Notamacropus eugenii: one gene and its partners. The protein of the gene in region 1 purifies or fractionates together with the protein of each later gene. This does not show direct contact. Links are inferred from orthologs where the notes say so. Each region holds a gene or a part of one and is shown in the gene's direction. Other genes may lie near its edges.

What was found. The genes of interacting proteins can lie anywhere in the genome.
Region 2: the proteins of GSK3A (region 1) and PRUNE1 purify together in Homo sapiens (affinity purification with mass spectrometry; 3 studies listed by BioGRID and IntAct, with this or other methods). This does not show direct contact. The link is inferred for Notamacropus eugenii from reciprocal best matches to the Homo sapiens genes GSK3A and PRUNE1.
Region 3: the proteins of GSK3A (region 1) and FRAT1 purify together in Homo sapiens (affinity purification with mass spectrometry; 4 studies listed by BioGRID and IntAct, with this or other methods). This does not show direct contact. The link is inferred for Notamacropus eugenii from reciprocal best matches to the Homo sapiens genes GSK3A and FRAT1.

The regions. Positions count from the first base shown.
Region 1 is NC_092876.1:26,014,881-26,022,482, reverse strand, and holds the start of GSK3A (glycogen synthase kinase-3 alpha), read left to right. Parts: upstream 1-4,541; 5' UTR 4,542-4,666; coding exon 4,667-5,054; intron 5,055-5,324; coding exon 5,325-5,402; intron 5,403-5,607; coding exon 5,608-5,795; intron 5,796-7,251; coding exon 7,252-7,335; intron 7,336-7,438; coding exon 7,439-7,549; intron 7,550-7,602. UniProt on the Homo sapiens protein: Constitutively active protein kinase that acts as a negative regulator in the hormonal control of glucose homeostasis, Wnt signaling and regulation of transcription factors and microtubules, by phosphorylating and inactivating glycogen synthase (GYS1 or GYS2), CTNNB1/beta-catenin, APC and AXIN1.
Region 2 is NC_092873.1:304,856,942-304,865,043, forward strand, and holds the start of PRUNE1 (exopolyphosphatase PRUNE1), read left to right. Parts: upstream 1-5,045; 5' UTR 5,046-5,060; coding exon 5,061-5,282; intron 5,283-5,723; exon of another isoform or gene 5,724-5,809; coding exon of another isoform or gene 5,810-5,827; intron 5,828-8,102. UniProt on the Homo sapiens protein: Phosphodiesterase (PDE) that has higher activity toward cAMP than cGMP, as substrate. Plays a role in cell proliferation, migration and differentiation, and acts as a negative regulator of NME1. Plays a role in the regulation of neurogenesis.
Region 3 is NC_092872.1:214,099,638-214,106,720, forward strand, and holds FRAT1 (proto-oncogene FRAT1), read left to right. Parts: upstream 1-4,026; 5' UTR 4,027-4,170; coding exon 4,171-5,037; 3' UTR 5,038-6,802; downstream 6,803-7,083. UniProt on the Homo sapiens protein: Positively regulates the Wnt signaling pathway by stabilizing beta-catenin through the association with GSK-3. May play a role in tumor progression and collaborate with PIM1 and MYC in lymphomagenesis.

The DNA.
Region 1 (7,602 bases):
ACACTGCCAGGGACCTGGATTTGAGCTTGTTTCTATTAATTTCTTACCTCTGTACCTGTGGTCAAATCTCTCCCACTCTCTGGGCCTCAGTTTCCTCATCTGTAAATATGGGCATATTTGCATGATTGGGGCAGCTAGGTGGTGCAGTGGATAGAGCACCAGTGCAAGAGTCAGGAGGACCTGAGTTCAAATCTCACTTCAGACACTTGACACTCACTAGCTGTGTGATCTTGGGCAAGTCACAACCCCAATTGCCTCATCCTGGGTCATCTCCAGTCATCCTGATGAATATCTGGTCACTGGATTCAGATATCTGGAGGAGAAATGAAGCTGGTGACCTGCTCAGCCCTCCCTCACTCAAAACAAAGTGAAGTGCAAGTCAGGTCATCATTTTTCTGATGGCATGGTCTTCTTCGGCAACGAAGAACAAACACACATGTCATCTAAACCAGTGACGAGTCAAGAGAGTGGTTTGCAACTGGGGGGTACCCCCAATTTTCTAGCTGTGTATGCTGTGGTGAGTCATCTCTGCCTTCTCAACTGGCTTTTGACTTTTGAGACTTGGAGCAGCTCTTGGCACATAGTTGGTGCTTAAAAGAAACTTAATAAACTGGCAGCCCCCTTTTAACTACATTCTGTGACACACTTATTAGGTAGGAGAGGATGGGAAAAATAGGTACAAATGGGGAAATCGTGTCAGAGAAGGGAAGGATGGCTAACACCAAAGTAGGAAGAGCATGAGAGCTGGCTGATAAGGAAACTGAGGCATGAGAGGGCGGACTGGGCCACTGCAGTCTCCTGGGTGATGTAAGTCACTCCCTGGGGTGGGGGCCGCTGGGGGTGGAGGCGCCAGGCTATTTCAGGAAGTTGTCACCAGGCAACGCAGATGCTGCTGGGAGGGTGGTGGTAGTGGGGGGGGGGGGGGCCGGAGGAAAGGATGTCGTCACCTTCAGGAGGGGGCTGGGACCCTGCAGGGTGGAGACTTTGGTTTCCACAAATTCTCAGTCCCCACTGAAGAGTGGACTTGCTCATTGGTCCTGATCCCAGCCCCAAGGGATCCCCTCAGCCTGTCCCTGAGACGGTGGGAGATGGAGGGTGAGGTGGCCCCTTTACAATTTTAGCCTTCTCCTCTGACCCTAGAGAAACCGGCTCCCTTCATCCTTTCATTGAGTTCTCCACCCTCTTCAATGAGTACAATATCCTGGTAATTAAGCCTTTCCACCCTCTTCATTGGTCCCCAAGCCCATACTCATCCTGCCCCCAGCCCCCATCTCCTATCCATCTCCAAGGAACGGACCCTTCATCTTCCCTGGTCCCTATCTCCACTTAGCACTCCTCTCCTCACTGCCTGCACCTCCAGCCCTTATGGAACCTCTTCTGGCTTCCCCATCTCCTCTCCTAGAACCAAGTATCCTTTTGAACGGAGTCGCTCTTCCGAGCCCTTTAAATACACCTTTGTCCTGTCTCCCTTGTCCGAGCACCCCCTCCTCACTGAGCCCCTAACCCTGGTCCAAGCACCCCCTCCTCACTGAGCCCTTAACCCTGGTCCAAGCACCCCGTCCGCACTGCGCACCCCCTCCTCACTGAGCCCCTAACCCTGGTCCAAGCACCCCGTCCGCACTGAGCACCCCCTCCTCACTGAGCCCCTAACCCTGGTCCAAGCACCCCGTCCTCACTGAGCCCCTAACCCTGGTCCAAGCACCCCGTCCTCACTGAGCACCCCCTCCTCACTGAGCCCCTAACCCTGGTCCAAGCACCCCGTCCGCACTGAGCACCCCCTCCTCACTGAGCCCCTAACCCTGGTCCAAGCACCCCGTCCGCACTGAGCACCCCCTCCTCACTGAGCCCCTAACCCTGGTCCAAGCACCCCGTCCGCACTGAGCACCCCCTCCTCACTGAACCCCTAACCCTGGTCCAAGCACCCCCTCCTCACTGAGCACCCCCTCCTCACTGAGCCCCTAACCCTCGTCCAAGCACCCCGTCCGCACTGAGCACCCCCTCCTCACTGAGCCCCTAACCCTGGTCCAAGCACCCCGTCCGCACTGAGCACCCCCTCCTCACTGAGCCCCTAACCCTGGTCCAAGCACCCCGTCCGCACTGAGCACCCCCTCCTCACTGAACCCCTAACCCTGGTCCAAGCACCCCCTCCTCACTGAGCACCCCCTCCTCACTGAGCCCCTAACCCTCGTCCAAGCACCCCGTCCGCACTGAGCACCCCCTCCTCACTGAGCCCCTAACCCTGGTCCAAGCACCCCGTCCGCACTGAGCCCCTAACCCTGGTCCAAGCACCCCGTCCGCACTGAGCACCCCGTCCGCACTGAGCACCCCCTCCTCACTGAGCCCCTAACCCTGGTCCAAGCACCCCGTCCGCACTGAGCACCTCCTCCTCACTGAGCACCCCCTCCTCACTGAACCCCTAACCCTGGTCCAAGCACCCCCTCCTCACTGAGCACCCCCTCCTCACTGAGCCCCTAACCCTCGTCCAAGCACCCCGTCCGCACTGAGCACCCCCTCCTCACTGAGCCCCTAACCCTGGTCCAAGCACCCCGTCCGCACTGAGCCCCTAACCCTGGTCCAAGCACCCCGTCCGCACTGAGCCCCTAACCCTGGTCCAAGCACCCCGTCCGCACTGAGCCCCTAACCCTGGTCCAAGCACCCCGTCCTCACTGAGCACCCCCTCCTCACTGAGCCCCTAACCCTGGTCCAAGCACCCCGTCCGCACTGAGCACCCCGTCCGCACTGAGCACCCCCTCCTCACTGAGCCCCTAACCCTGGTCCAAGCACCCCGTCCGCACTGAGCACCCCCTCCTCACTGAACCCCTAACCCTGGTCCAAGCACCCCGTCCGCACTGAGCACCCTCTCCTCACTGAGCCCCTAACCCTGGTCCAAGCACCCCGTCCGCACTGAGCACCCCCTCCTCACTGAGCCCCTTTCCCCTTTAAAGGATCTGCCCCCGCCCCTGCCCTGCTAAGAACTGTAGCAGAATGCTCACGCAGCGGCCCCGCCCCCTCCCGGACAACCTTGGGTAACGGCAACTCACAGTGGGCCTCTCCCCGCTCCCGTCCCGCCCCTAGAGGGGCGGAGCCTTCAGAAGGAGCCGCGTGGCCCACTTCGGAACATGCGCATACTTTTTTCTGGTTGACGTCCGACAGGGGGCAGTGCAGCTTGCCCAGGCTGGGAACTACAACTCCCAGCAGCACAAATTTCAGCTTTGGACTTTGATTTTTTACGTCCGCTACCAACAGTCTCGCTGGAAAATTACAGATTTCTTCAATGCCCCTGCTATCCATTAGGAACGCCACCTCCATAAGCGTGGAGACCTACAAATCCCAGAACATCTGGCTCCGAACTGAGCTCTCTGGATGCTTACTCGACCCTAGCCTACTGTCCGCTCAGGGAGAACTACAAATACCAGAAACCTGTAGGACGAGGTGGGCGTCGGGTCAGGCTGGCACCCACGTGAGGACTCCAATAGCCAGAATTCACTGGGGTTAGGAAGTGCTGAAAGTTTCTAGCTTTTCCGGAGACTCAGGTAAAGGTATACTACAGAACTTCATTTCCTCTCAGCATCGAGAGTGAGTGTTGGTGTACGTGCATCCGTATGCATGAGAGGAAGAATGAGAAGAGTCAACTTCCCAGTATTCCATGGGTGCGCGGGGAGGAATGAAAACGAAGCACGGGGGAGGAAAACGGGGACTGCATTTCCCAGCATTCCTTAGGGGTGGGGGAGGAGCTGAAGACTAGAGCGTTCCTTTTCTCGGCGGTCGTTGCGCGAGGGCGTTGGTTCCCAGCTCTTATCGGTTAAAGGAAGACTCCACTTCCCAGAATGCTTTGTTATTCGCTGACCCCTCCCCCCTACGAGGGTGGGTCCATGACGTATACTCGAGCGCCTTCATCATACAACCTGCAATGACTCCACTGCTTCCCCTTTCTTTGCAACTAATTACCAAAGAAGAGAGGAGGCGGGGAGCGATGTAGATGTCCTTTCTCTTCGCGGCCGGCATCTCCTCACTTTTTTTCTCAGGGTCTTCTTTGGGCCCGTAATTTGACAGGAGGAGGGGGTGGAGGTGATCTCGAACTCCATCTCCCACGATCCTCTGTGGCTTTAGGTGCCTAAATGTTGCAATGAATTATATTTCCGCGACTTCGCCGTCGCGGTCCGTGACGTAAGACAAGACAGTTGGGAGTTTCTGGGAGGGGACTACTTGTCCCGGCATTCCTTGGGGCTCCCAAAGCTCTTCAGGGAGCCGAACTCTTTAGGCGTCTTCAGCGCCCTCGGCTCACCCAGCACATCGAGAGGGCGCATGTACGCTGTTTCCCAGGATTTCCTAGGCTTCTCTGTTGGGCCAGCTCCCCGAGAGCGCGTGGAGACTGCATCTCCCGACATCCTTCAGGGCCCGATCTTCGGAGCCCATGACGTTGCTTCTGTGGTGGAGCGAGGACTCCATTTCCCAGTGCGCTCCGCGGGGTCAGGCCGGCGGTGTGAGCGTGCGCGAACTGCATTTCCCGGCGAGCCCCGCGGCGCGGAGCCGGAGCCGGAGCCGCAGCCGCAGCCGGAGCCGGAGCCGGAGGCCGGAGCGGCCGCGGCCTGGAGCGGAGCCGGACCCCAGCCCAGCCCGGCCCGGCCGGGGCCCCGGGGAGCAGCGCGGCGGCGTCTGAGGCGCCATGAGCGGCGGAGCCCCGGGGGGCGGCGGCGGCGGCGGCAGTAGTGACAGCATCTCGGGCCGGGCCCGGACCAGCTCGTTCGGAGAGCCAGGGCCGGCGGGACCCGGGCCGGGGCCGGGCGGAAGCGGATCAGGCCCCGGACCCACCGTCGGACCCACCGTCTCCAAGGCCGGCGGTCCGGACCCGGGCCGGGGTCCGGCCCCGCCAGCCTCGGGTGCGGGCCCCGGCCCGGGTCCTGCCCCCGGCCCCATTCCTCCCGGTCCCGGCCCCGGCGGCTCGGGTACCGGCGGCGGTGCGGGGGCCGTGAACGTGGCCTTGCCTTCGGGCCCCGGAGGCGGCGGAGGCGGCGGAGGTTCGAGCTTCCCACCACCCGCCGTGAAGCTGGGCCGTGAGTAGGGGCGGGGGCTTCCCCTGCCCTCCTTCTTCCCCACAGCCCCCTCCCGCGCTCGGGGCCACCCCGTACTTGGCCCGGGGTCCCGGGGTCGCGACCCCCCGGCACACCCTGCCCCTCTGCAGGGCTTGGGGAGGGGCGGGCGGGCAGCCACCGGCCAAGGAACCCCAGCCCTGGGGAGGCACCGGGCCGGGGTGCCCCACTTTCCATAACGGAGAGTGGTCCTGGGGGTCACGGAGTCCTCTTCTTCCCCCTAATCCCCCGCAGGTACCACTAAGGGGGCTGAAGCTGTAGAGGTCAAAAGTCACCAGCCAGAAGTCTTGTCTCAGCCTTTCCCCCCCAACAGTAAGGTGGCCCTAGGGACTGGAGGTTAAAGGTCAGGGGCCCTTCCTCTTTCCCGGACTGAGGAGGGATGCTGAGATCAGCTCCTCATCTCCCCCTTACACAGACCCCAGGAAGGGCAGAGGGACTGGACCCAGAGGCTGAATGTGACCTCCCCTACCCCTTCTCCAGCCCCCCAGCAGGGAGTCCCCACATTTCTCTTCTCCAGGTGACACTGGGAAAGTGACCACGGTGATGGCGACCTTGGGGCAGGGGCCCGAGCGCTCCCAGGAAGTGGCCTACACGGACATCAAGGTGATCGGCAACGGCTCCTTCGGTGTCGTCTATCAGGCCCGCCTGGCCGAGACTGGGGAGCTGGTGGCCATCAAGAAGGTGCTGCAGGACAAGAGATTCAAGGTACTGAGTGCTGCAGTGCGCATGTCTGGACCCACACCCTAGAGATCAGGGAGGGCACCGGGCAGATCTGAGAGCCCCAACACAGTCAGGCCAAGGACTGGTGTGCTGTGGGCTTGGACTTAGTGACAACAAAGGGAGGTGGGCTAGGGCTAGGCTGGGATTCTCTTGGGCACCCCGCTCAAATCCTACTCCCCACTGAGAGAGACCAGAATGCAGAGGAAAGTGTTTGGAGGCTGGAGCCTGGTGAGGACAGGGGACTGTGTCTAGAGGAGCAGGAGATCCAGGCTCCAGGAGCACCCAGGCTGGGGGCGGGGCTCTGGGCTGCCAAGGGGTGGGGTTGGGAGGGCAGGACCTGCAGAGGTGGTGAACTGAAGGTCGAGGTCCTCCAAAGGAGGGCTGGCTTCTGCCTAACATGTTCTAGGGGATCCAAGAGGTCAGGCCTGAGGAGAAGGAGGGAAAGAGGGACAAGAGACAGGGGTGGGGGTTGGTGAGAGGAGACGAGGGCAGGATCAGGGTTCTAGAGCAGCTAGGGAGCCCAGGAAAGAGATGGAGAACTGGAGAGGAAGGCGGGACTCCTCTGACCCTTGACTGGTACAAGAGAGAGCTGAGACCTGGGAGGCGTTGAATCAGGGTTTGGAAAGGGGACCAGAAGAGAAGGGAGAGCAGGTTTTTGGATTGGCTCAGAGGGGCCGACCCCAGGGCAGCTCTGGTGTCAGGGGTCATGAGTGGCCAGATCCAAGCAGGGATGAGGCTGGGATCTGGGCCCCAGGGGGAGAGGCAGTCCAGAGGCAAGACTCAATTCTGGGGCCCAGGAAGGGCATGGTACCACCCCAGAAAGGAAAGGGAGAAGGGGTGGGGACGCGGTTGGCCTGAGCTCCCGTTGGGAGAACAAGGGCTTTGGTGCTTGAGAAGGAGGAGACTGGAAAGAGTGGGGAATTGGGAAGAGACAGTTTGACCTAGTGGAAAGAGAGGTGAATCTGACCTGAGAAGACCCAGATTCAAGTGCTGTTTGGGCCTCTGTGTGTGTGTGGCTTTGGATGAGTCACTTGTCTTTGGGCCTCAGGGAGGGAGCTGGGCTGGCTGCCTTTAGCTCTGGGTCACAGGCCTATAACCTCTAAGATTCTTTCCCTTGCTAAACCCTGTAATTTCTGGTATTTGGGGAGGGGGGAAGTGGGCATCAGAGGAGAGGCTTCATGGAATATGGGGGTCCTGTGGTGGGCCTGAGAGGGAAGGAGGGAGATGGGAGCTGAGCCAGGTATAAGTTGGGGCCCAGAAGGGAGCAGGAGCTCTGGTGTCTCAGGGACAGGGGAGGAAAGGTCTGAGGCAAGGTCCCAGGGAGGAAATGCAGGTTGGGCAAGAGTGGGCCAAGACCACAAAAGAAGACAAGTCTGGGAGGGGGAAGACAGGGGCTCCACTGCCCCCTGCCCCCAGGCTCAGCTCTGCCTTCTTTCCCCAGAATCGGGAGCTGCAGATCATGAGGAAGCTGGACCATTGCAACATTGTACGGCTTCGCTATTTCTTTTACTCCAGTGGAGAAAAGGTGAGTGAGGCCTAGAGGCCAAGCAGCTCCTCCCTTCTGGCACCTCTGGCTCTGGGGAGCGCCCGGGCCCCCTCCTCACCCTCTTTCTCTTTCCTCATGGCAGAAGGACGAGCTTTACCTGAATCTGGTGCTGGATTTTGTGCCTGAGACCGTTTACCGGGTGGCACGGCACTTCACCAAGGCCAAGCTGACCATCCCATCCATCTATGTCAAGGTGGGATTTGGCCCCAGCTTGTCCTGGCTGCAAAACCCTGGGGGGGGGGGGTC
Region 2 (8,102 bases), on another chromosome or scaffold:
TAGAGGAAGTAATTAAAAGAAAGTTTTACCTTAAACCAGAGGGAGTTTGTGCAGGGAGTCAGTCAGGAGTTTGCAGGGGCTCCCAATCCAGAGAAGGATGCTCTTTGCTCAGCTTCAAGAGCTGCTTGCAGCTGTCAACACCTGGGCTGACGGACTTCAGAGCTGGTTGGTGTCCAGGCTTGGTGGAAGCAGTTTTGTACTCACGCCCACCACTGTCAGGCAGTGGGAAAGAGAGGGGGGTGCCTCAGATATAGCTCAGCTTTCTCCCCTCAGTCCCATCCTGTACACCCTTCCAATACTCAGACCCCTTTAGGCTTTGGGAGGGTCTCCAGGTCTAGGGCGTGCTAGGGTGTGCTCTCCAGGCCCTGACTAAAGCCTGGTTTTCCAGGGGGAAGTTTCTGTTTGTTCTTCTTTTCCTTCTTCTTTTTTTCTATTGAGAGAAATCATCAGTTAAAGACAGATTCCCTGGGGCAGGGGCAGACTGCCGAATTCCAAAAGGTTTTCATAAGGGCCATCTGCCGTGGTCAGCAGCTGGCGACAGGCAGAGAGAGGGAGAGGGAGAACGAGAAGGAAGCAGAGAAAAACAAGAGCCCTTCTGTTCCCTCCCACTGCTGCTAGAGAGGATGAGGACTCTTGTGCCTCTCTGGTGAGAGCTGGGAAGAGCAAGGGGGGAGGAGCAGTAGAGGGAGGGGACCACGTGCTGCCCACCCAGCCTTCGGGGAACAGCCTGGGAGCTTTCTGGTGTGCTACTTGCGATTGACTCATTTCTTGCCAATGTGTATTTTGGCGTTTTCCCCCCCATGTTCCCTCCTTGTACTCTTAGCCCCTGTTCTCCTTTCCTGAGCCCTTGCTGTGTCATTTTTCAGCCCAAACAAACTGGTTGAGCTCTCCTTATACAACCTTACACCAAGTGGTAACTGAGAAGACAGTACAAACAGTCCAAGACTCCTGAGTTCCGCATCTTTGGCCGTTTCCCCACTCCTCTCACCCCCATTAATTACCAACTTGGGAGCATCAAAGAAGGAGTAGGGTTTGAGAGAGGGAAATAAAAAGATGGATAAGCAAATGAAAACAACTGAAGGAGCAATACATTAACTTTGCCTCAGACACTACCACGGAGTAAGAAGGGTAGGATGAAGGTAATGGGGATCTGTGAGAAGTGACAAGGACATAGGAATTCCATTTCTAAACTCTGAGGGGACCCCAGATTCAACTGAACAATCATTAACTAGCCCTATGAGCTGGGCACCGTGCTAGGTGCTACATATACAAAGTTTTCAAAAGAAGCCTTGAAAGGGCAAGTGATGTGTTAGAGTGGCAAGAAGTCCCATAGGATCATGTAAAATTGAGAGCTGGAATGTCCCCATAGATACCTCAGACTCAACATTTCCAAAACAAGACCCAATATTTTTCCCTTCTAACCTACCCTTATTTCCAGACTTCCCAATTTCAAAAATGAAAGTCTCTGACTTCAAGAAAGTCACATTCTACCCAGTGATACAACATGTGTACAGATAAGTATGTAGCAATAGAGTGTATCAGTCAATCAACAAGCATTTTTTTAAGAGCCTATGTATGCTAGGGCCAGGCATTACTACTAGGTGCTGTGGGTACAAACAAAAGAGTGAAACATTTCCTATACTCAAGGAATTTACATTTTGCTGGGAGAAACAAGTACACCCAGAAGTATATGTGAAATAAACATAAAGAAAAGAAATACAATATTGTTAAATACAAAGTAGCTTGGGAGGGGAGGATGCTGGCACTTGAGATCAGGAAATGCTAAAATGTAGCAGATAGAACTTGAACTTATCTTGAAGGAAGAGAGCAATTCCAAGGCAGAGCTGAAATGGAGGTACATTTTTATGAGGAGTAGCCAGTACAAAGGCAGAGATATGAGAGATGGAATGTATTATACAAGGAAGAAAGAGAAAGTGAGTTTAGCTGCATCAGTGTGGGAAGGGGAGAAAAATGTCTAAGGAGGCTAGAAAGACAAGTTGAGACAAGGTTGCAAAAGGATTTTAAAAGCTAAATAGTGAAGTTTATATTAGATCCTGGAATCAGGAGGCAACCATTAGAATTTATTTAATAGGGAATAACATGGTGACATTTGTGCTGAAAGAAAATCACTTTGGCAGTTGTGTGGAGGTTGGACTGGAGAAAGACTTCAGGCAGGCAGATCAATCAGGAGGCCTTTGCAATAACCTAGGCAGAGGTAAAGAGGGCCTAAACCAAGCTGGGCACAATAGAAATAGAAGGGATCCAAAGTGAGAAATGATATGGAGGTAGACACAGCAAGACTTGGCAGCTGAGTAGATGTGGAGGATAAAAGAGAGTTAGGAATTGAGGACAATTCAAAGGTTTCTGGGAGTCTGGAAGAATGCTGGTATCTTCTATAGAAATAGGAAAGTCTAGTTTTGGGAAGAAAGATATTTAGTTTCTGTTTTGCATATGTTAAATTTAAAATATTTCTGGGACATCAAGTTTGAAATTCCTAGTTGGTCCTTAGTGATGCTCAGAGGAAAGGCTAGAGCTGGATATACACATCTGAGTCATCTGCATAAAGATGATAGTTAAACTTCATGGGAATTAAGATGGGCACTGAGAGAGTATGTACATAGAAAAGAGAAGAGGACCCAGGACAAAACTATGTTCACCCCAGCAGTTAGGGAGCATGATAAGAATGATGAACCAGAGAAGGAATCTGAGAAGTGGTCAGAGAGGTAGGAGGAAAACTGGGAGAGATCATTGTGATGAAATCTAGAAAAGAGAGGGTATAGTATCAAGTTAACAGTGTTTAATGCTTCAGGGAGGTGAAGGAGGTTGAGGACTGAGAATCATATTTGGCAGTTGAAATACTTGATAAATATGGACAGAACAGTTTCATTTGATTGAAGAAGTTGGAAGCCGGATTGTGAAGGGTTAAAAAGTGAGTGAGAAAAAGGGAGGCAACCAGTAGAAAAGTTATTTCCAGGAGTTTGGCTAAAAAGGAAAGGAGAGTTTTAGGATGATAGCTAGAGGGAAAGATAGGGTCTAGTGAAGGGTTTTGGATTTTTTTTAAGCCTAACATCAAGAGCCTCTGCTGAGTCTGAGAAATTGAGGCACTATGTCCACTACCTTCTCCACTAAGGTGTCCCCTCTCTCTGCTCTGGACACATGCCCATGGTCCAGATCAGGTTCAGTCTTGAGGGAATGTGATTACCAAGAAGAAAGGATAGGATATTTTTTCTTATAATCTTTAGCTCAGTTAGCTCCTACCTTGGCAATCTATGAACAAATTATTTAAAACTTGGGTTTTGGCTCATTTATATATTCCCCAAGGGGGGAAATAGGAAGTTATTCCATGTACAATAAAAATCAAGTATGGGACATGTATTTCTACATAGAAAAGAAATGCTAAAAGATACAAAAGACTCTCAGCAGACATGGACAATAACTAAGGAATTGGTAACATATCTTCTATTTCATTCTGCCAGGAAGTTAAGCCATAGACATCAGAATATGAAGCAGTTTGCAGAACCATTAGAACTGTCATTGCAGATCAGTCATTCCACATTTTACTTCAGCTTCACATTCTCTTTCAAAGCCCATCTTTTTTGTTAGGTTAGGAGTTTGAACTCCTTCCCCTGATGATGGTGCCCTCTCTGAGGCAAGAACTTCTCCTGTCAATAAGGAAGGTCTTCATGGTGAACCCAGGACCTCTGAATCTCTCAAACTCACAAACTCTGAGGAAATCACTTAACCTCACTCAACTTCACTTTGTTGTGGTTCAGTCTTGTCCAACTGTCCTCGACCCCATTTTGGTGCTTTCTTGCAAAGATTCTTCTCCAGCTCATTTGACAAAGGAGGAACTAAGGCAAACAGGGTTAAGTGACTTGCCCAGGGTCACACAGTTAGCATCTGAGTCCAGTTTTGAACTCATGATGGTGAGTCTTCCTTATTCCAGTGCCTCTCAGCTGCCTTCAACTTTACTCATCAGAGTCAATGTGAAGATCAAACAAGAAAACTAAAATAAATGAATGAAGTGCTTTGCAAACCTTAAGGCACTGTAAAAATTCTAGCTAGGGATTTATCTTGGATGCCTGATCACCTAACAAGGAAGAGAAATTCAGAAGAGAATAGATGGTGGGGGCGTGGCTCAGATGCAATCTCGTCTAGTTGAGACCCCAACTCTAGTCTCTCTGACTTCCTTCAAGGCTCAGCTAAAGCCTCACCTTCCACCAGAAGTCCTTCCTAATCCCCCTGAATGCAGGTGCTCATGCATCTCTCCTACATCGGATATACAGGCTATGTTTCCTGCATGTACAGTATCTTGTTTGGACGTAACTCTTTACTTATTGTCCGGATTATGAGAGCTGCAGGAGCTGTCGTTTGCCTATCTTGTATCCCCAGAGCTTGACAGAGCGCCTGGCACAGTGCTAGTTGACTGACTGACTGACTGACTGAGAGGTGCCTCCCCCCTTAGCAGAAAACCTCAGGTTTTTGTTTGTTTTGTTTTTTAATGCCACCTGGAGGGTAGAAGGAAGAAATCAAACCGGAAGCCGTCTCTTTAACCAATGCGCCAATTCCACGTCTTGGAAATTCGAGTGATCAAAATGTTCTAGGATTTTTGGAGAAGGGTGGTCATTTCCTTCTCTTGGAATAAGGACTCCCCCAGAAAACCCAAGGAAGGTGTTTGCTATGTAGCACACAAGCCGACTGTCTCTGATGCTTTGTGAACCAGAACTGTGTGAACAGGCTTGAACTCAGTAGAAAAGGACAGAAGTCAAAGTTTGGGTTTTTGTGGCATTTGCAAACATCCACTAAGTATTCTCTTCGGAAATGAATCCCCTTTATCTTCTCTCACGACTTCAACGTTTCCTCAGGCCCAACGGACTACATTTCCCAGCAAACCTTGCGCCAACCCGGGATGCATTCCTGCCTCCGGAAACCGTTCTGTGGGCGGGACCAAGGAAGAGGCGGCTCAGGACGTGGCGAGAAACGAGTGTGTCTCCACCCTCTGAAGGGCGGGGTGACGTCGGGCGACGAGAGCGGACCGATGACGTTCCCCCTCTTCGGGCATGGGGCGGGGTCGGTACGCGGTGCGTGCGAGCCCCGCCCCCTTTCCTCCCCAAGGCTCGCGCCTCTGGCCGGCTGCCTGTGGCCTGCGGGCTCGGGGCGGGGCGCGTCGTGGGCAGCTGGAGGGGCTGCTCTGCTGGGCTGCGGAGGAGGTTGTGCTGAGCCGTTCCCGCTGGAGCTCGGTCATGGAGCGCTTCTTGCAAGGCTGCCGGGCCGCCGTGCAGGTAACGGAGTCGGGGCCCTTTCCGTGAGGGTGGGACGGGGCGGGGCGGGGAGGTGAAGTGAGGTGAGGAAGGGGACCCCGACCTCCGCCCGTGAGATCCTTCCCGCCCCGGCGGGTGCCAGGCTGGCTGTCACAGGCGCCCCTCCCCCCGGGGCCGAGCCGGGGCTTCTCGGGGTTCCCCGCCCCGCCCCCTCCCCCCGGGTAACTGACGGCTCACCCAGGCTGGCTTCTGCCGGCTCTCCTGAGGGCCATGGGGCGGAGGCCCGGGCGCCCGGGCTCTCCCCTTGGCACAGTTTGGTCACGTTCTAGAGAACAGGCCGTTGTGGTCTCAGTCTCTGGGCTAAACATATACTTTGTCACCCGCGCGGCTCTGCACGCACACCACATGGTGTCCTGCCCCCGTGTTTTCTCTCCTTTAGGCACCCACACTTAATCATAATTCCCTGCCGTCTGAATGTGTAAACATGAATAATCCTGGACGCGACTATTGTGAATGTTAGCTTGTCTTCGGTCTTCTCTGAATACGCTATGCGTGACCCATTCCTGGTCAGTGGTGAAGTATGCCTAGGCTGATGGTCATAGCTATAATACTAACAAGTGGCATCAGATTGACCTGTAAGCTTTGCAGAAGCCTTTATCTCATGAGATCCCACACCAGCTCTGTCAGTTTAGTGCTACAGGTGTTACTATCCCCATTTGACAGTGAGACCCAGAGAGGTGTGGTGTGGTGTGACTCGAATAAATGAAAACGAATGACAAAACATATTAAGTGCTTACAATGTGCTAAATATTGGGAATATAAAGATTGAGACACTCCCTGCTCTTAAGGAACTGAAAAGAACACATATGCAGGTTTTCCCGACTTCAAATCCACTATATCCACTACATGGTGTTATCTCTTTAAGAAGTTTGCTAGGAAAAAAGATTCTCCTAGGTCATATTAGCATATTTCATTTCTAAGTCAGATTATACCTAAAACAACTTAGGGGTTAGTTGACTCTCGTTTTCCTTTAAAAAAAATCTCCTGATTTTATAATTTTCTTGTATTCAACGAAATTTAAACAGATATTAAATGTGTACTCTATTTTTGGATAATAAATGATAGTGTCTTACAATATCCCTGATAGGTGAGAATCAGCTAGTGTTCACTTTTGTAGATTCAGCCATTTATTCCTTTTTAAAACAAATTTTTATTGATATCTTTTTGCTTATTACAACATTAGAATTTCTCCTAGTATTATACCTCTCTCCACTGTTTCCCAGAGAGTCGTTCTATATAAAAATTATTTTTATAAAGGAAAAAAAAGAAAGAGGAAAAAGAGAAAAAAACCAGCAAAACCAAATAATATATTGGGAAAAGTCAGAAAATATATACAATATTCTATACCTGTGGACCTACTGCTTCTGCAAGGGAGTGGTGTGAGGGGTTATCTTCTCATATCTCTCCTTCAGTGCCATCCCTGTTCTTTATAATTTTGCAAAATTCACTTTTGATCATTTTGTGGTTCTTTACATTTACGTTGTTGTAGTCCTTTCAGTATTGTTTTCTTGGCTCTGCTTATTATACTCTGTATCAGATCCCATAAAGCTTTCCAGTCTTCTCTATATTCATCATATTCTTTATTTCTTACAGCATAATATAGTAATACTCCATTACATTCTTGTACTTTGGTTTGTTTAGCTAGTCCCCAGTCAATGGGCATCTACTTTGTTTCCTATTCTTTTCAGCCATTTATTCTTTGACTTCGGGTAATTGAAGTACTTGCCCTAGGAGTAGGGGTAAATTTTAAAACCAATTATATTTTAAATTTTAAAATAAATTTAAATGTTTTATTATGTTTAATATCATGTATTTAATATATTAATATCTAACCATGTGTCATTTTATTATATGAATAATTAATATTTAAAATTTAGAACCAGTTATACGAAGCTTTTCCTTATAAACAAAATTTGGGATATCTCTAAGGATCTTCTGCTTCTAAAATTCTGTAATTCATGTTATAAGTAAGAAAAAATGTAACTACTTAACAGTTAAAATATTGCTCCTAATGAGGTTTAATAATCAGTCCTAGAGAAATAGTTTTCAAACTTTTATGGACTGAAGTAGGGAAGAAAGAAAATGGACATGAAATTTCTGTGCAGGTTAGGGTCTTCTAGACTTTAAGTTGTGTACAGAATACTGTAGCCTCCAAGAGCAATCCAACTTTGTGACTTTTTATTTTGTTTAGGTGAAGTAAAGGGATAATTCAGGTGTCCAAAGGAGACCATCCAGGATGATGAAGGGCCTCAAGTCCATGACATGAGGATCTGTTGGAAGAATTAGGCTCATTTAGCCTAAAGAAAAGAAGATGGAGGAGGCGTGTGTGTGTGTGTGTGTGTGTGTATGTATAAGACGGAGTAGTTATCTTCAAATATTTGAGGGCTGCTATGTGGAGAAGGTATTAGACTTGTTTAACCTGGCCACCTTCCCCAAATAGCAGAGTGGAAGTTGCAAAGGGGCCAATTTAAAACAGCTCTAGCTATTCATATGGAATGGGCTGACCTATCGTCCCCTTCCTTAGAGAGCTGTTCAAGTAGAGGTTTTTTTATATGTGCTTTGGACTAGATGGTCAACTCTCAAATTGGTTGACTAAGGAGTGATAAATACATTCAGTTCAACAAACATTTGCTAAATATTATTAGGTTGTATTATAAAGTATTTAGCATCATTCGTTCTATTCAACACAGAGAAGGATGGGGAAATAGTAATATAGGAGGAATGAATGAAAGGAATAGTGTCAGAAGGATATATTTTAGACAAGAAACAGTGATGAAGACA
Region 3 (7,083 bases), on another chromosome or scaffold:
TTGTGAGTCTTCATTAAAGTTAGGTGTTATTCTTAGTGCCTTGCCTAGTTTTCTGTTATATTGAATGTTTCTTCTTAGACTGACTGCATCTGCTTTGAATTTCTACTGTACTGAATACCAACTATCTTCTGTTCTTACCATTTCTATTGGTATGCTGTTTTCAAATGTGAGAAACATGTTTCCATAATGAGGAATCTCCATTTTTCCTGTAAAGCCTGTTGTGGCAGTTGCGTTATAAAAGTCATTAAATCTGTTAAAGAAGTAGCCAAATTGTTCTAACTGGTTCGTTTGCCAAGGTTTGTAACCTAATGTGCTCAGTAATGTTCCCTCACAAGACAAAGTAAATATGTTATTGGAATCCTCTGCAATTAGCATGGTTGCTGTGAGGTCATTGGTGTACTGAGTTTGTGGTGGAGTTGTTGTTATTTCTATGACTGTCTTTATGCTAGTGTTGAATATTTCTTGTTTTAGGTCAATTAATTCTATGGTTTTGCATATCCAAGCCATGTGTGCAAAGTCTGCTGGACTCATCCATACTCCCCATGCATTTGTATCTAACAGGAACCACCATGCTAGTATTTGTGCATGTTGGTAGTCAATCCAACCATCATAGGCAGTTTGTCCTGCAACTGTTTTAGGTTTTGAGATCTGTAGTATGTATTCTTGATTTTCTGCCTCTTTTAGGATGATATGTCTAGATGCACTGCATGTTATTTGTAACCCATTCCCCTTCAAATTTCCATTCAGTTGTGTTATTATAATTTCCTGTGGACCTCCCAACCCATCCCCCCATCTCCTCCCATGGTTCTTTTGCCTGGTTCTTCTGTTAACATGGATGAGTCCACTTCTGATGAGTCTTGTGAGTCACTCATATTTTCTTTTGCTGACCAACTAAATACTCTTCTTTTTTTGGCTAAGTTTATGAAAACATGTTTTGGAATTGGTCTTTTTTTACTTACAGTTAGTTGGTTTTTTGCTTTTTGTTTGGTGGTGCCAGTTCTGGTGCTATTGCCTTCTTCAATTTAAATGCCTTGTTTGCAATCTAGCCTCCCCAGTCTTTTGTGTGTTCTGTCTGCTAGATAAATTTAGCATCAGCTTTGCTGAAGTAGAAGGAAGGGTTATTGCCCAATTGTTGCATAAGATGATAGTGCTCATCATGTTCCTTGGTAGCTTGAACACTTGGATTGGTTGGTTGTTCCTGGTCAAGAGTATTCCAGGTTCAACGTATTTGTACCCTGGCAGGGTATATCCTGTAAGTCAGAGTTACATATTAGTTGATGGTTGATGCTCTTGGCAAGTAGCATGATATGAGTTCTTTGACTTACCTTGTCTTGGTCAGTTGATGTTTGGCATTTACATATTGTCCTGTTCCATTTCTGATGTAAGCCACTAGTAATCAAGGTCCCAGATGAAAGGTTGTCTCCCCTGAGAAGGTAATTTCTCCTTGTTCTTGACCTTGATCACTTGATATATTGGTTGATGAGCTGGCATCTGATTTTTCAGTATGTTGTGCAGTGGAATTAGAGGCTGATTTGACTCTTTTCTGCCAATGCCTGTTCAAGAATTCCCAGCCGATGAGCCTAGTTTCTGTGGAGTCTTCTGCTTTGTTGTCTGTTTTTATATCTTCTTCTGACTCCTCTCAGTTTCTGTTCACATAGGCACATCATTCCAGTGATCTATGTATGACCTTATAGTTGGATAGAAGCCCTCATCTTTAAGAGTTTTGAATATATTTGCAATTTCCTTTGAATCAATTATACAAAACCTACCATCCAGAGTTTTGGTTAGCTTTCTGTCAACACATATGTGTTTTATTGGCTCTGAGTGCTCAGGTCTAATTTCACATTCAATTCTGACACAAGTAATATCTTCATTTGATGTCATTATGACTGGATCTAGTTCAATTGATTTACTACCTTTTCCTTTCTGATCTAGTCTTATGCTCTGTCCTGCCATTATGGCTTTAAATTGGTTTACTTCTTGTCCCAGGTTACCAACTTCTTCTATCCAAATTATGTTTTTGTTGTAGTAGTCACTGAAAGGAAAGTTAACATTGGATGGATTGTAGCATCCAACACTATCAACTAGCTCAGTATTTTTTGTGCAATGAGACTCTTTCCTGTGCTTGCTGGACCTTGAAGTAGAATGGTATTTCTTTTGCCTCGCTGCTTATTTAATGCACGTATTATAGCACGTGTGACTTCCTTGGGGTTCTAATTAGTCTGAATATCTTGAATAGTTTTGTGTTTTCTAAGTCTCTGATTGTCTTTCCCTTTTCTATGATTAGGTCATATGCTGTCATGTATTTATTCATTCTTAGTAGTACCATTTCCATAACTGTCAATAATTATTTCACCTCCTGGATTTGCTATTTGTTCTGTGTAACTCTCTGGCTCATCTATCATTTATCGCTCTACGCTTATAACTCTCCTGTCATATAGACTACATATGGCTGATGTCATTGTCTGTTCTTTTTTAGTTTTTTCTATTTTAATTTTTTTGAGCTATGGTTCTGTAACTTCTGACTTGACTGGTTGACTTTCTTTTTCTAATTCTTTTAACATCATATTTCCTGACTTTCATTATTGTTTCAAGATGAGTATTTTATTTTTGATCCTCATGGTCAGACCCATATTTTGGCAATATCAATTTAGCAGTTGTATGGAGAAAGGAATGATGTGGAGGGGAAAGATCCGAAGCAAGGATGTCAATTAAGGAGCTTATTATATTAGTGGAGACTAGAAGTGATGAAGACCTGAACCAGGATAGGGGAGAAAAGGGACGTTATCTTTTATCCCTAACTGCATGATACAGCTGAGTTTTCTTGGCAAAGGTCCTGGAGTGATTTACCATTTCCTTCTTTAGCTTATTTTACAGATGAAGAAACTGAGGAAACAAGGTTAAGTGACTTGCCCAGGGTCACACAGCTAGTAAGTGCCCATGAGGCCAGATTTAAACGAAGGAAGATGATGAATCTTCCTGATTCCAAGACCAATGCTCTTTCCAAATTCAAATCCTAAATCCAACCCAACTGTAATCTTACCCCTCCCCCCAAAAGATCATTGGATTTGAAGCTGGGGGGCCTGCGTGCAGCCCCTGACAGGTCACTTGGGCTCTCTGGACCTTAGTTTACCCTTCCACATAGTGGGGGGCTGAAATGCTGGGAAACGACCTTCTCCGCCTCCTAAAAGTCTCTCCCGACCCTCCTTCATCTTTGGTCCCGCGGTCCTCAGGTTACTCCCAGACATTCTCATCGCTCCACACCCCGATCGTGGCGACGACCTCCAAGGGAGCCTCTCAGCAGACAGACGCGGGTCTGGAGCCCGGGGCGGGCTGACCGCCGCAGGAATAACTGAGGCCCGACTCCCCGCCCCCCGCACGCCTCCCCGCTCCTGCTCGCCGCCCCTCGGCCCGCAGGAACCCTGCCCTCGCTCTGGCCGGGGCCAAGCTCGCCTCCAGATGCCCGCCGTCTGGTCCCCCGGGGCGTGGGGACAGCAGGTGGCACAGTGACCACCGGCCCCACGCTGCCCCCTTTCCTTCCCTCGGCTCTGCCGGCCTCCTTCTCCCGCCTCGTCCCTTCCTCCGCCCAACACCCCGAATTTCCCCTCCTCCACTTTACGCAAAAACCCCAAACCCAGAGGCAGCCATCCCACCCCTGAGCCCGCGACCCCCACGAGAGGCCGAGGGAAGGAGCCGGGCGAGTCCAAGCTGAGTGGGCACGAGGTGGCGGCGCGTGTCTGGGTCTGCGCTGGAGCTGCCCAGGTTCGCGCCCGCGAGGGCTCCATCGCCCCGGGCCAGGCGGGCGCAGCACACGCACGGCCCCGCATCGGCGCCCGGCCCAGCTCCCGCCGCGCGCCCTCCCGGGCCTCTCCGGGCCGCCCCGCTCGACCCTCCCCGCGCCCCCCCGCCCCGCGGCAGTGGTAGCGCCCGAACGCCCCGCGTCACCCATTGTTTACAAATCGAACTGAACCGGCTGAGCTCCAGTTCCCGGAGCGGCGGCGGCGGCGGCGGCGGCTGCAGCGCTCGGGGCCCCGCACGCGGCCGGCTCGGGGCGAGAGCGCGGCGCCTGGTCTTCGGGAGCCGTCCCCGGGGCCGGGCCGGGAGCGGGGAGCGAGGAGCGGCCCCAGCGGCGGCGGCGGAGCTGCGGAGCCCGGGCTGCGGAGCGAGGCCATGCCGTGCCGGAGGGAGGAGGAGGACGAGGACGACGAGGCGGCGGCGGCCGGAGAGGAGGAGGAGGAGGAGGACGCCGCGGGGGAGGGGGAGGAGGAGGAGAGCTTCCTGGTGCTGCGGCAGTCGGTGACCGTCGGGGGCTCGGGGGACGTGGACCGGCTGGTGGCCCAGATCGGAGAGGCGCTGCAGCTGGACGCGGCGCACGGGAGCCGGGCCGCCCCCCGGGGGCCGCCGGTCCTGCAGCTGCTGCTGCCTCCGGGGCCGGCCCCGGCGCCCCCGCAGCCTCCGGGGCCGCCGCAGTGCGCGGGCAGCGGGGCCCGCGCCGCCCTGTGCTGGGCGAGCGAGGGGGGCGCCGCGTCGCAGCCCCCGGCGCGGGCGCCGCCGGGCCCCTGCGTGGCGGGGGGGGCCCCGGGCCGGAGCGGCGCCTGTGGCCCGCACGTCTGCAAGCGGGGCTTCCCGCAGCCGCTGCCGGGCCCGTGCCGACGCGCCTGGCTTCGGGGCGCCGCCGCCTCCCGGCGCCTGCAGCAGCAGCAGCCCCAGCACCGGTCCCGAGGGCCGCCGGGCCTCCGTGCGGGAGACGACGACCCCCACCAGCTTCTGCAGCAGCTTGTCCTCTCGGGGAACCTCATCAAGGAGGCCGTGCGGCGACTGCATTCCCGGCGCCCTAGGCAGCACCCTGGGGCTAGGGCCCCCTTGCCCCCAGCGCCCGGCCCCGCTCCACCGTGGCCCCTGGCTGTTCGGGAGGCTGAGGCAGAAGGGACTCTAGCTCACTGTAGTCCTCGGCGACCAGCCTGCTCCAACCCCGAGGGCCTCCGGAGCCAGCTGGTGCCCAGACGTGCAGATGGCATCTTGGTCCCCAGCAGCTAGTGAGCCCAGCGCGTTCAAGGGCAAGAAGAAGGCAGGGGAAGAACCCGAAAGCCTAAGGCCTGGAGACTTGACATGAATGAACTTGGAGTGGGGAACGGGGGTTCGAAGGCAAAGGGGAAAGATGGGGGAACTTTTTTCGAGGTTCTGGAGTGGGGAAGGGTGATGTAGAGGCTGTGGACTTGGGTGGTTTGTGGGGGGTTGGGCCGAGAATTAGAACCCCTGATCTAATTAGGATGAATAGATCCTGTGTATTGACAGACTGCACTACTGACCTAAGAGCGTCAGTAGAAGATCCTCTTTTTCACTTGTCATGAGTGGTGCTGACTTGCACTGAGCCATCCACAGCACCTTAGCCTGGTTGCCATGTGACCAACAGCACACCTTTTTCAGGATTCCTTAACTGGCCACCTCTACGGGTGCCTTTGGAACAGAGTTGTTGTTTTTTCCTCTGTGCAATATTAACTGGCCTTTTAATAGGAGTTGCACCTTCCATCTTGGCCTCCTTCGCACATGTTCTATCCTACTGAGCTAACCATGAACTCAGAACAGAGAATTATTCCAGTTACCTGCTTTGACTTGACCCAGTTTGTTTTCACTACTGGTAGTTTTCTTTGACTCATGTTTTTTGCGGGGGGAGGGGAGAGGGTGGAGTGGGAATGGAGAGAAGGATTTGAGAGCAGGGAGAAGAAATGCAGTGACTTCACCTGACTGAAAACTTGATAGCATTTTCCAGACTAGATTTAGTTCTGAGTTGTGGGTTCCTACTGCTAGAACACAATCAACTTCATTAAATGTGAGAAGAAGGAACTTGAGTAAAGCTTGGGTGGGGTGGCTTAAAGTGATTACCTGCCAACCTCCTACTTCTACCCTTACATTGCAACAGCCTGATGTTTCTAAGGCTTAACTGAGGAATACTCCCACCAGGTCATGGTAGGGAATGAGAAGGGGAAGGATTTGTTCCTGGGGAAGGAAGAATTCTTGGCTCCACAGTCTGCCTGTCTAGAGGGGCTTTCGAAAATTGGTCCTTGCAGGATTCTGGTTTTCCACACATGGTGCTGTGTCTTTCTGGGCAAGGGAGTAACTGTATATTCAGCACCTTCTCCAAGGGAGTCCTGTGTTTTGAAACTGTTAAGAGTCTCCTGGGGACATACACTTTGTTCTACTGGTTGGGAGGGAAAACTGTGTGCATGTGTGTGTAAACATGTGCACATGTCCACAGGCTTGTGTGTTGACCCTTCTTGGGCCTTTTTTGACCAGGGAGGAAGATGCCTTAGTACCTGTCATAATACTGCAGGTCACTAAGGTTTCCTTTCTTTCCAGGATGTTCTTCCTTTCTTGTTTATACTTTAGCAGGTTCTGAGTAGGGGTCCCGGCATCAAGGGAAAGAGGCCCATTTAAATGTGTTTGTCTCTGAGGCTTTTTGTGGTATCTCCTGCAACATCTCTGAATGAAAGGGGATTTGTTTTCTCCTCTCTCCATCTCATCCCTCACTTTTTTGAGTGAATTCAGTATTCTGAAAATGTTGCCCTCTATGTAGAAGATCGGCAAACATTTTCCTTTACAGTGGCTCCAATCTTTGTTGTTATTTGAAATTTCAATGGCTTGGTCATCATCCAGATGTGGCTGTTGATGTATGTGGATGTGTGCCTGTACATATCCTCACACACATACACTTCGCAGCGGAGTGTCTGAAATTGTGGTGGTCCTGATTTACAGGATTCTAACTTTACTGAAGTATCTATGTTAAATAAAGTTGGTTTTTTTATTTTCTGTCTTCCTTTGTGCCAAAGGCAGCCTAACCAGCAGATTTCCATGGGGATGAAAACACGTCAGCATGGATTATGTGTGACAGCCTGTGTTCCTCAGCATTCTGTAAAAGGATGGGATAAATGCATCCTGTAACTACTTTTAGGGCTAGCTCAATATTAAGATCAAATCCTAGGAACTCCCTACCCCCATTTATTAAAACAACACACAGTAATAAGAGACTGAAATATCATTCAAATCCGCTTCAACCATGCACTTTAAGTACACTGGTAATAGACA